3 linked regions of the Neurospora crassa OR74A genome follow. The protein of the gene in region 1 interacts with the protein of each later gene in a pairwise test. Links are inferred from orthologs where the notes say so. Each region holds a gene or a part of one and is shown on either strand. Other genes may lie near its edges.

Region 1 (4,281 bases):
GGTATCAAAAGCACACTAGACTTAGCTTGAAGCTCAATTACATTTAGAAACTCAACAACAACAACAGAATCGTGCTCCTCACATTTACTTTCTCCTGCCCTTGCCCTTACCACCCTTACCAGCATTGCCGCCCTTCTTCTTAGGCCCAGCAGACCGTCCCACCTTCTTGACGACCTTCTTGAGGTTCAGCACCGCGCCCTTACCGGCTCTCTCGGCGCTGCCCTTCTTGTATGTCCTCTCCTGCTTGCGCTCTTGCATGGTGTCGAGCTTCTTCCTGTCCTTGTTGCTCAACTTGCCCTCGTTCTTGGACTTGAGCTTGTCCCTGACGCCGTTGAGCTCGGCCCGGCCCGCCGCCTTGGCCTTCTTCTTGTCCTCCTGCGTCTCGAACCACGTGCGCTTGGGCCTCGAGCTGATCTCGTCCTCGTACTTGATCATGTTCTCGCCCTTCTTGACCTGCATCTCCATGTTCTGCAGCTGCTTTTCCTCCTTCTCTTCCTGCATAATCTCCTCAATCTCATCTTCCAACTCGTCGATCTCGGCCTGCCACTTGTCGGCGTCCGCGGGATCGATGATGCGACTGCTGATCTTGGCGCCCTGAGACTTGCCGGCCTTGACGGCAGCCTTGACGACCTTGCGATCGGGCTCAGCAGCCAGGGTAATAGCGGTACCGCTGCGGCCCGCACGCGCTGTACGACCGACACGATGGACGTAGATCTCGGGGGTCTGGGGAGCCTCGTAGTTGATGACGGTGTCGACACCCTTGATATCAAGACCACGTGAGGCGAGATCGGTGGCAAGGAGGAAGTTGACCTTTCCATCTCTGAAGTCCTCGACACTTTGAATACGCTATGGATCCTGTTAGTATCACTCATCCATCTGGAGCATCGTAAATCGTAAACATACCTGAGCCTGGTTCATGCTACCGTGCAACTCGGCGCACGACAATCCAAACAGACCAAAGATGATCCTCATCTTGTGCGCAATCTTCTTTTGTCTGAAGAAGATAATGACACGCTCCGTGTAGATAGTCTTGCAGATGTGCAACAGATATCCTTCCCTCTTCGATTCGCGACCGGGTCTGAGACGGACAAACTCTTGAACAAGCGTACCGGCAGTCTTCTTCTGCGAATCGGCCATGATGCGCACAGGCTTGTTGAGACCGGCGCGAATGAGCCTGTCGACAGACGACGTCATGGTGGCAGAGAACAGCATGGTCTGGCGGGACTTGGGAAGGGTGGTAAGAATCTCGTTCAACTCGTCCGCGAAACCGTCCTCGAGCATGCGATCGGCTTCATCGAGGACGAGAATCTCGATGGTGTCGACGGCGAAGCTGGCAGAGTTGCGCATGTGATCGATGAAACGACCAGGAGTGGCAATGACCACATCCGGGCGAAGACGGAGCTCGGCCTCTTGCACCTTCAGACTGAGACCACCGACAGCCAGACAGAACTTGATGTCGGTATGGCTGGCGAGCTTGACAGCGACAGCGTGACACTGGATAGCCAACTCACGGGTGGGCGTAAGAATAACGACGCGGGTGGTGGGAACCTTCTTGGGACGGTAGAGGAGACGCTCAAGGATGGGAACGACGAAGGCGGCCGTCTTACCGGAACCGGTGACGGCACCACCGACGACATCCTTACCCATAAGCGAAATGGGGATGGTCTTGGCCTGAATGGGCGTCGGCTTGGTGAAGCCCACGGAAGTAAGACCGCGAAGGATAGGACGGGAGAGAGACATCTCCTGGAACGAAGACATCTCGCCCTTCTTCTTAGGCTGATTCTCCTCCTCCGGCGCAAAGAACTCCTTCATCTTGGCCTCCTCCTCCTCATCAATACCCTCTTCATCATCCGATGACTGCACATCATCAGGATGCTCAACGGCCGTAGCAACCGAGTCATCATCCGACGCATCGCCCTCGTCTTCATCCTCTCCCTTCTTCTCCCCATCTTCACCCTCACTATCCTCATCCTCCCCATCAACACCCCCCATCTTCGCATCCTGCTTCTCCTCCTCCTCTTCCACGTCCGACCCAACACCCATACCAAAAGCATCGTCAGCCAAGACACCATCCTCATCATCATCCAAATCCACATCAATCTCTTCTATGTCGTCTTCTTCCTCATCAACCTCCATCTTATCCTCCTCCTCTTTTGTCGCCGTGGTTTTCCCCTCCTTAGCAGCCTTCCTCTCTCTCCTCCTTCTGATAATCTCATCGATATCCACAGCCTTCTTGTCCCCGCCCGCGTTGGCGCCCTTCACAACACCCTTGTGCGCGCCCTCGAAACCCCAGCCGTCGAACTCGGCGTCCACTTCGTTCTGGCCGTCGACAACGAACTGGAACTCGGTATCCATGGCGCCGTCGTCTTCGTCGTTGTCGCCCCAGATGCCGAGGTCGGCGGCGTCGTCTTCTTTTGTTTCGGCTTCGTCGTCGTCATCTTCAGTCTGTTGCTGTTTCTTGGACTTCTTGTTGTTCTTCTTCTTTTGCTTGTTCGATTGTTGTGTGGCCGTCTTGGCCTTCTTCCTGGGTACAACTTCTTGCTCCTCTTCTAGTGGGATGTCTTCTTCATTGTCGGAAATGGTGAGGATGAAATCGTCGTCGATCGCTTTGCGCTTTTGGGAGGGCGCCATTGTGGTGGATGGTGTTGCAACGGTCTGTGACCGTTGTTTGTTCTGTAGTGTTGTGTTGGAAAAGAGAACGACGGGAAGCTCCCGATGCTGAGTGGGAATTGGTGGAATCGTCAAGATTGTACAACTGATAGCAGTCAGTGGGGTCTTTTTTCGTCTCTTCCTCCGCCGCAGAACGAAAGGGAAAACAAAAATTTGGGAACCATGCCCGTCTGTAACTTTTTCTGCCGGGCGGTCAATGTGATTGGAGGATCTGGGGATCTTATCAGTGGCAGCTGGTCGACAGCTGCGGGGATGGGTACGTACCATCTCAACTATCAAGTGAGTACCTGCCGTCTTCGGGAGCAACTCGTTCAACACCACATTGTCCCAAGAAATTGAATACGCGTTCATGTTATAGAGCCAGAGGACCTTGTCCTTACTACAGTAGGACTATATTTATACTTGTGCGGGGCATATGGTCCAGCTATTCTCAACGCAGATGTATCAGCCCGTATTATATGATGATACTACACAGGAGTCATCTACCCCGTCGATACCCAAAATGAACGCCAGACACCTTGCCAATGGTATAATGCTAATCCTCAAACCTTCGCCTCCAAAACATCAGTTGCCCACAACGTAACTTTCTTCACATGGACCGCCACATTATCACTCGTGCTACCGTGTGGAGAAGCTCGCCGACGCTCCAAGGAAGTCCTGGTCATGCCCCTGGTCCTGCTGGTAAGTCTCCTTCTGCTTCTGCTTCTTCTTCATTTCAGCGCGGATTCGTTCTTTCTGCGCCTTCAAATGCGCCATTTCAACATCATCCAGCAAGAATTTCTGCTCATCGATATCCCTTCCACGTCCGGACGCGGATGCTTGCGGGTAGAGAGGGTCTCGTTGATATCCGTCACCTGGCAATTCGTGCTCAACAATATCCCACGTAGCATGATAGTAGCCATCTTTGGTTGGTGGCAGCTCAGCATGCGCCCTTGGCTCCTCCAGCTTACGGATCGCGCCGCTTTCCATTGCAGCGTACTCCTCTGTCGATGCGTATGGTGGTAAAGGACCGTTATTACTGGCGCTCGGGAGATCAATGTCCTCCCATGGATGTCTCCTTTCCATCAGAGATGCGGGTTCGCCTTGTAATTCAACTCCTCTAGGTGGTCTTTCAATCATAGACTCGTCGGGAGGCACTGTAGGCGAAGTCACAGCTGGAGTGGGCGTTACTCGGTTGGGTCCATATGAGACGATTAATGGGGGCTGTGGCCGTTGGGTTTGTGAGGTTGTTGGGTTTGGTCGTGGGAGCGTAGTAGGAACTGAAGGAAGAGGAAGATGTGGTGTTGAAGTTGGAGCTTCGGTTGGAGGAGGGGTGGTGTACTGTTCGTAGTTGTGGTAATCGGGGTAATAGCCACCGAGAGGTGCTGCGGAGGCCGCAGATAACTGGGGCAATGAGGGCATTGGGGGTACTCCAAGCCGGCTGTCAAGGGAAATCGAGTCGGCAGCAGCGCGTTCATTAAGTTCTCCCCTGGAGCTTGCCCGCGGCGTTAGCGTGGGAGTGACAGGGTTCGGCCCGTATGACGTAGGAATTGGCTGGACAGTCTTTGCGCGGGCAGCTTCGAGTTCTCGTCCGGTGATGCTCAAATTTTCCGTCACCCCAAGCCCGCCTCC
Region 2 (4,319 bases), on another chromosome or scaffold:
ACTTGCCTATTTACCCTACACAGCTCACCCACAATTCCACGAGACATCATGTAGAAAGTTGGTATGGTGCACTTGAAGGCTTTACACGTTGTTTCTTTTTTATTTTCTTTCAATGTGGCCGTGTTGTTAATTTTTGTATTGTTTGCGATTCCCTGTCGCAAGAACCACGGAGCCAGGCTTAACAGTCGTTCCACGGTTATACTGCAATTTCAGACAACTACATATGTACCTAGTTCTGGGCGCCAAGGCTCTTCCTCCACATTCCCGTCATTGCGAAGTATCACGCGGTTGGGGACAGTCCGTTGAGATACCTTCATATGCGATGACTGCATTACAGCCTATCCTATCCTATCCATACATGCGCGCGTCATGAATCGAAGGCTTCTGTTCACTTTCGAATTCTGCCCCTTTTCTTGAAGCTTGAAAATCCACGGGCCGCGCCGGATGAAACGCGCGCACCCGCACCACGCCGGCTGCTGCCCGTTGGCTCTATACCAGCAAACAACCCTAAACATCAGGCAAATGGCCTAGCACTTATTTCTTCCCCTTCCCTTGAACCTTCCACTTCGAAGCCCTCGCAGCAGCACGACCAGTCTTCTTCTTACCACCACCCGCATTCGGCGCCTTGTTCTTCTTGGCGCCCTTGAACTTGAGATCCTTAGGTTTTCCGTCTGCCGCACTAGCACGCTTACCCTCGAGAATGAAACTCTCGGGGGACTTGTAGGCGCCCGGGACTCTGGGACCGGTCGCCTCCGTGTTGGCGCCCGAGGCGTGATTCCTCCTTTGGTTGGCCTGGTATCTGTCCTGCTTGTTGAAAGTCTTCTTCTTGTCGGAGCCGATGACCTGTCTGGCAGTGAACTTGCCGAGGAGCTTCTCAGCGCGGCCGGCGATGGTCTTGGCTTCGGCGGAGATCTTGGGGGCGTAGTCGGATTTCTTGGAGCCAGGACCCTTCTTCCCGTTGTTGCCTTTCTTCATAGTTTCCGGAACGGCACCCTGCGCCTTGAGCTTCTTGGCTTCGATGGCACGCAGGGTCTTGTGAGGGGCCTTGCAGCGGCTGACGCGTAGCTCGCGGGGGAGCATGGGCGGGAATTTCTTGCCGTTGAGGAGGATGGCTGACTCGACGGCGTTTTCATCCTACGGAGGGGGAACAGAGTTGTTAGTTGATAACGGGCAAGTAAGAGACAGAGAGAAGTGATAACTCACGCAGAACTGAACGTAGGCGAAGCCCTTGCCGACACGGGTGACAGGGTCGCGGACCACACGAACGCTCTCAACTTTGCCGCCCTCTTTACCGAATACCCGCCAGAGACCTTCCTCAACGTCCATAGGCTGCTTTGTCCGCTTCTTCTTCTCGGTCACCTCCTTACCGTCTTCGTCTACCTTCACTTGCAGTACTGTCTCGTCATCCACAAAACCAAGGTTACCGACGAAGACGCAGCGCTTGTGGTCTACCGGGGCAGGATGGGCAACGCTGTCGACACGGATGTGGCGATCCAACACGATTGTGCCGTTGAGTTTCGAGCAGGCAAGACGAGCGGCCGCAGGGGTACTGTAGACAACATAGGCGTTTGTCGACTTCGTAGTGGCCTCCATCACGGACTTCTTGATATAAGCGGCACGCTTGGGAATGGCAGCGGTAGCGAAGGCAGTCGAGCGGAACCGTATCGACTCAACCTTTTGCGCAGGTTTCGCCTCCTTGTCCAACACTGAAGCCATATGCTTCATCAAGGCCTTTTTGGCCGAACGAGAGGTGACGGCCTCGACGGCGACATTGCTGAGGAAGACGGTGCGGTTGGCCTTCTCAATCTCGTTCTGGGCAGCATCGGGCGCTAGCGATTCGTGAACGGGGACCTCATCCGCAGACTCGCTGTCGTCGTCGTCCTTCTTCTCGGCCTTGGCGGTATCCTTCTTTTCTCCGGATTGCTCGTCGGCCTTGAGACGCTTGCCAGCCGGCTCTTCATCGTCCTCCGCCAACTTGGACAGGTATTTGTGTTCGAGATTGTCGTGCTGGTCGGGTTGCTTCCGCTTCCGTTTCGGTCCATCTTCTTCCGGGACCTTTCCTTGTTCTACAACAACTTCGAGGGTCGCGACGGCTTCGTCTTCGCTGTCACTGTTGTCTTCAGCCTCGTCGTCTTCGTCATCCTCTCCAATGCCGACCTCGGAATCGTATTCTTCGTCAAGCTCGCTCAGTTCCTCGTCATCGCCCTCGTCCTGAACGTCTTCCTCTTTCTTGGAAGGTACTGGCGCCTTCTTGGACTTTGTCGGTAGGGGCTCGGAGTATTTTGCAGCTGGGCGGGGCTTCGCTGGACCAACCTACACAAGATTAGCCATGTAAACTTCCAATTGCCTGTCTGGTCAGAGCGAGATGACTTACACTGGTAGCAAACAAAGCATCCAAGCTAGGATCAACCTTCTTCACCGGCGCAACGAGTCCTTTACTATAATAGTGGTGTCAGAATACTGGAAGAATGGCGTTGACTGTAGCGTAGGGCTGTTCGCACGTTTTACCCATTGTGAGTTTTCCGTCGTGTGTAAGCGCAATGGATGGGAAAGTGGCACGATTCGCCAATCAAGCACTTGTGATTGACTTAGTTCTAAGAGCACGGAAAAACAACTGAAGTTCGACGACGAGGCGAAAGATGTGATTGGCTGTAAATGCTGTCAAAATCGAATTGCAAAGCTTCCACTTCTGATTTCTAGCAGGATGTTGTACAAGGCAAGACCAGTTTCTATGCAGGCAGGTTCAATGGTCCAGGGTTTCAAAGGGTCGTCGTTTCTACCTTCCCCACTGCGCATCGTAAGGACGAGTCGAGGACCGTGGAACATCTTGCATCCTCCCATTAAAAAAAAAAACTCGCTTATCAGTTGTTATCAAAGCTGCCAAGACTCACCGCCTGCCATCGCCTTTGTGTGGTGCGCTGGGCTGTTGGAGACGGGCGGCGGCGGCAGGCAAGCGGGCAGGCAATGGAGCCCCCCAGAAACCTGCCGGTTGCCCATTTGTGTTGCGTGCTGGTGCGGTGCTGTGGGCGCTTGTCCAGCTCCCAGTCTAGGTCGTCAACCAGATACCTACTGCCCGCTCCTCACTCTCCCGATCTGTCTTCCTACTACTTTACCTACCCAGACCGCACGTTATCTCTTGACAATCGCGCCCTCGTACCGACAACAAAGCCATATCTCCGAGACATTTCATTGTGTGCGAGCACACATTTTAACCTTCCGGCATAAACACACTTTACCCTGATCGTGGCGCCACAACTTCAGGTGCTGCTCTTGAGCTGCCCGTACAGTTCGGACGTCCAGTCCGCCGTCCACGACTAAATTCTACGTGGCCGTCCAACTTTCCACTGCTCAGCTGCTCAACCCAACATTGGCGCGTCGTTGCTTAGTTTCAATCTCGTCGGATTCTATGATCCGCGATGGCTACCGGTGACACCGCGCTGTCCTTGGCTCTCTCGAGCCCCCCTCCGCCTCTGCTCCAACACAGCCCTAGCGATGTGTCAAGCCCACTTAGTGACGTGGAAGACAAGCATGGAGATCCTGACGACATGGATTTGGACATGAACAGTAACCACTCTCAACATCGCGAGACATCGGTCCGAACTGACAATCGCGATGGCGTCGACTCGGACCTTGGCGCTGAGACTGACGACGAGAGCAAGCTGTCGGACGTGGATATTAATGACTCCGAGGCAGAGACAGAGAGGCTCTACGACACACCACCGAAAGATCGAGTATCGCGCGACATCGTAGACACCGCGGGTGAGCCTGGCACTCGACAATTCACCGACCGCCGCGATCGGACGTTCGAGCGCAGCCCTAGCAAGCTTCAGCAGCAAATCAAATCTGATTACGAACCGGAAAACACTGCCAGCGGGCGAAACACTCCCTCAGAAGAAGCAGAAGTGGGTGACGAAGAGGCCTCGGAAGACCTGAGTGACGAAGAGCCTGAATTTGCTGCCAAACTACCACCTGCGCGATCTCCCGTGCTGGCGAAGAAAGTACAAATAGTTTCCGCCTCGCCTGAAAAGATCCTCACACTATCACCCCGACATGATATCCTAAAGCGGAAACGCTCCTCAGTCACCGAGCAACAAGATCTCAGCCAACCGTTCAAAAGGCGGACTGAGTCAAATACCTTTCCCGAAAAGCTCTCAGCCGATGACGTGCCTGTCGTCGACATTGAGGTCATTTCGACGAACCCCGAAAGCGGCAACCAGTCTGCCGAGGAAGATAATATTAATGAGCCGACCATCACGGCTGGCGCCGATAGCGTAACGAAAGATGAAACGGAGCCCACGGATGCGCTCGAAGAAGACGCG
Region 3 (3,562 bases), on another chromosome or scaffold:
CTTCTTTTTGTTGGGGATAACTTCACACGGGACTACTTTTCGTCCACACGGAGCTTTCCCTCTTCAATTTTCGACACTCAGGCAACTCACCTTATCTTTCTGGACCCTTTCTCTCTTTTGTCGTTGATTCGACACCAAACACCCTTTGCGGACTGAGGACATCGCCGGCGGGAAACGATGCAGCAACTTCTCTTTGGTTCACACTCTTCGGCAAACGTCACCTGGGAGTCGGCGGACTCACACCTTCCAACCTCAACCTCTTCCATCTGCTGGGAGGGAGCTATTTCGCGACATGCTTCTCTCTTTTGTTGGGTGGGACTTGCACGGGCTTGGGTATGGCGCTTGGTTCACCACTCCTTTTTCTTTGCGCACTTTCTTGGAATTTTCTTGGATAGGACTGTAGAGGAGGGAAGTCTTCCTTTCTGTCTTGGCAGGGAGGGGGGACTCGCGGGATGAAATTTGTGGAGGGGGAGGACCATGTGGGGAGTTTTCACTGTATCTTTCTGATCTTGGTTTGCGGAGGGGAGGGATTGTGGGGGTGAGTTGGCTTGGTTGAAGGATTTGAAGAGTGTTAGTTCTTTTAATAAAAAAAAAACCCCGGTTGACACCATATCTTTGGATGCTCTCATGACCGTGACTACCTCTATGATTGTGAATTTCATTATCATCGTATGCCTCTTCGTAAGACTTTTCAGAGCAACTGACTTTAGTGATAAAGCTGTCAACTTGCAAATGGAACGCTTGATCGATCATCAAGGCAAGATACGCGGAGGAATGGCCTCGGCTCCGAGAAAATATACTACATCCCATTACATGTATCAGCTCGACGTCCCAGACATATTTCTGATCTGTTTCGGCCAGGTTAGGTTCGTGATGTTTGCGCGGGACAAGGCTCCTCCACTGAACGCGAAGTTTGATGTATCAGGAGACTCGTGTTGAATCACCTTGACACAGGCTGCGGGTAGCTTACGAGAAACTGGGCAGAGATACACAGGGCATGGTGATATACACTAGCAATCAATCTTGAGATCACCGAGAAAACGCAGTTCGGTGGGTGACCATCACCGTGACTACAGGCCCATTGTAACTCGTAACCTGAGGGTTGGGGTTTGATGTGCCAGATTCAGAGAGAGTGTGAAGGGCACTTCCAGGAGCTGGGCTGTGGATACCTCTATGCCGGGCGCCAAGCATCCACATTTGGGTCCGCCTCCGACCCACCAGGCTTATCTTATCGGGTAATGGCAGCCGCCATGTCAAAAAAAAGTTTCCAGAACTGCAAGCGCTGCCGCTTCTCGAGCTCATCATCCAAATCGATTGTACAGCAACCCCACATAATCACAATGCCGCGACAGTCCACCCGCACAAAAAAGCCGGCCACCAAGGCTCTTGAGGCTGAGAAGATCGAGAAGATTGTTGAAGAGAAGCCCCAGAAGGAGCAGAAGAAGCGTGGCAGAAAGCCCAAGCAGGTCGTCGAAGAAACCCCTGTAGAGGACAAGATGGATGTCGAGGAGGAGCAGAAGGCGGAAGAAACCACCACTCAGACCAAGGCCGACGAGAAACCAGAGCAACAGGAAGAGGCCGGTTCAGATTCTGAGGAGGGTAGTGACGACGAAGAGGACAACGATCTCGATCTTGATGCACTTGACGAATCCGATTCCGACTCAGAATTCGAGCGCGACCTGAACGAGAAGCAATCCGCCGCCGGCATCCAGGCAAACAAGTACCAGAAGGCCGCCGAGGAATCGAGCGACGAGGAGGAGGACGAGGATGAGATCGACATTGATGAGCTCGACGTCGACGGAGAAGAAGGAGAGGAAGTCAAGGCCATTTCGAGGGCGCGCCAGACAATAAACAACAAGCAAGGTCTCCTGACGGCGCTCAAGCGCTTCGCCCTCGACACAACCGACAAAGTCCCATTCGCCTTCCACCAGTCCATCGTTGCCAAGAAGGTGACGGAGGAGTCCATCCCCTCGATCGACGACGACCTGGCCCGCGAGCTGGCCTTCATGAACCAGGCGCTCGAGGCCGCCCGCGTCGGCCGCGCCCTCCTCCGCAAGGAGGGTGTCCCCTTCACCCGCCCTACCGACTACTTTGCCGAGACGCTGCGCAGCGACGAGACTATGGAGAAGGTCAAGGCCAAGCTTATCGAGGAGGCCACGGCCAAGAAGGCCTCGGCCGAGGCGCGCAAGCAGCGCGACCTCAAGAAGTTCGGCAAGCAGGTGCAGGTGGCCAAGCAACAGGAGCGTGCCAAGCAGAAGCGTGACACACTCGAAAAGATCAATCTTCTCAAGAAGAGTACGTGCCTCTCCTACCCTTCTCCTTCCCCTTCCCTTCTTAATTCCATAACAAGTTCTCTTCCTCTTCCTTCCCCTCCCCAACTTGATGATAACTGAAGCCAACTAACCTCCGCCTCCTTAAATAGAGCGCAAGGACGGCGGTGGCCCCACCGGCGCCAACGAAGCCGAAGACCTCTTTGACGTTGCCGTCGACAACGAGCTCAAGGGCGGCCCTGGCGGCAACAACAGCAAAAAGCGCGGCCGCGACGGCAAGGAGGGCGGCGGGCCCAACGCCAAGAGGCAACGGAAGGATGCCAAGTTTGGCTTCGGCGGCAAGAAGAAGTACGCCAAATCCAACGACGCCCTCTCGTCGGGCGACGTGAGCGGGTTCAGTGCGAGGAAGATGAAATCGGGCGGCCCAGCAGGCGGCAAGCCCAAGAAGTTCAAGCCTGCGCCTAGGCCTGGTAAGGCTAGGAGAAAGGCGGGGGCTGGAAAGAGGTGAAGTGAGTAAGCTTCACTGTGGCAGGAGCGAGAAGAAGCAGTGGAAGTGAAGAGCGGTGTCGATGCCATGATGGGTAATCTGTTTAGTTTCCAACCTAGTACAACAAAAGGTCAGCACGGCAGGTTGGTGACAAAGGTGGTAGTAGCGTGTATGAGTATACATCATCATGGGACCGGTCATACAACAAACATCATTGAAGGATTCAGATCAATTCAGTAGCCACTACCTTTACTTAGATACCTAAAGAGTTCTTTTCATGCCTTACAGTTTGATGGTGTTACCCGCTTGGCTCAAAGGTCCTTTTCTCATATCATTCATCTTGCAGAATGGCTATATCCGTTCACCCGAACAAACGGGTTCCTTACTTTCACCTTCATTCAAAGGCCCCCGATGTCGGCTCGTGAACAAAAACAAATCTCGGTCACTACAGTTTGTGAGAGTATCATCCTGTCACGGACGAGCCGCGCAAGGGCCATCGCTACTTTAAGACTAGGTACTTCAGATACACTAATACACGAGACATCCCCCTTTCACTCCTCGAACCCGCATGGTAAGGGGTTTGATGCGCAACACCATCGTAACGCCTGCTTGCTGCTATTCATCGAGACGAGCCTAAACCCAAACCCAGATTCAGACCCAAATAGACCTGGGAAGACCCATAACCACCAACGCCAGACATAGACCCGCCTTTCCTGAAGCTACAAGCAAATAGAAGAAAGAAACAACAACACAAAGAGCGGCTCATCCAATTCAACCCCACCGCTGTGTGGGATTAGGACGAAAA

Evidence for each region.
Region 2: the proteins of NCU11175 (region 1) and NCU09131 interact in binary tests that used the Saccharomyces cerevisiae proteins (3 or more experiments, as listed by UniProt). The link is inferred for Neurospora crassa OR74A from reciprocal best matches to the Saccharomyces cerevisiae genes DRS1 and NOP12.
Region 3: the proteins of NCU11175 (region 1) and NCU01257 interact in binary tests that used the Saccharomyces cerevisiae proteins (3 or more experiments, as listed by UniProt). The link is inferred for Neurospora crassa OR74A from reciprocal best matches to the Saccharomyces cerevisiae genes DRS1 and EBP2.

Annotation. Positions count from the first base shown.
Region 1 is NC_026503.1:3,109,894-3,114,174, reverse strand, and holds the start of NCU11175 (ATP-dependent RNA helicase drs-1), read right to left. Parts: upstream 2,803-4,281; 5' UTR 2,632-2,802; coding exon 904-2,631; intron 847-903; coding exon 85-846; 3' UTR 1-84. Other genes in the region: NCU00234 (hypothetical protein), read right to left, coding at 3,289-4,281. UniProt on the Saccharomyces cerevisiae protein: ATP-binding RNA helicase involved in ribosome assembly.
Region 2 is NC_026501.1:5,442,059-5,446,377, reverse strand, and holds NCU09131 (nucleolar protein 12), read right to left. Parts: upstream 2,815-4,319; 5' UTR 2,513-2,814; coding exon 2,502-2,512; intron 2,439-2,501; coding exon 2,375-2,438; intron 2,314-2,374; coding exon 1,204-2,313; intron 1,135-1,203; coding exon 535-1,134; 3' UTR 79-534; downstream 1-78. Other genes in the region: NCU09130 (hypothetical protein), read left to right, coding at 3,417-4,319.
Region 3 is NC_026505.1:3,393,320-3,396,881, reverse strand, and holds NCU01257 (hypothetical protein), read left to right. Parts: upstream 1-1,284; 5' UTR 1,285-1,340; coding exon 1,341-2,295; intron 2,296-2,422; coding exon 2,423-2,778; 3' UTR 2,779-3,062; downstream 3,063-3,562. UniProt on the Saccharomyces cerevisiae protein: Required for the processing of the 27S pre-rRNA. Probably involved in the step of the processing of the 27 SA precursor into the 27 SB intermediate.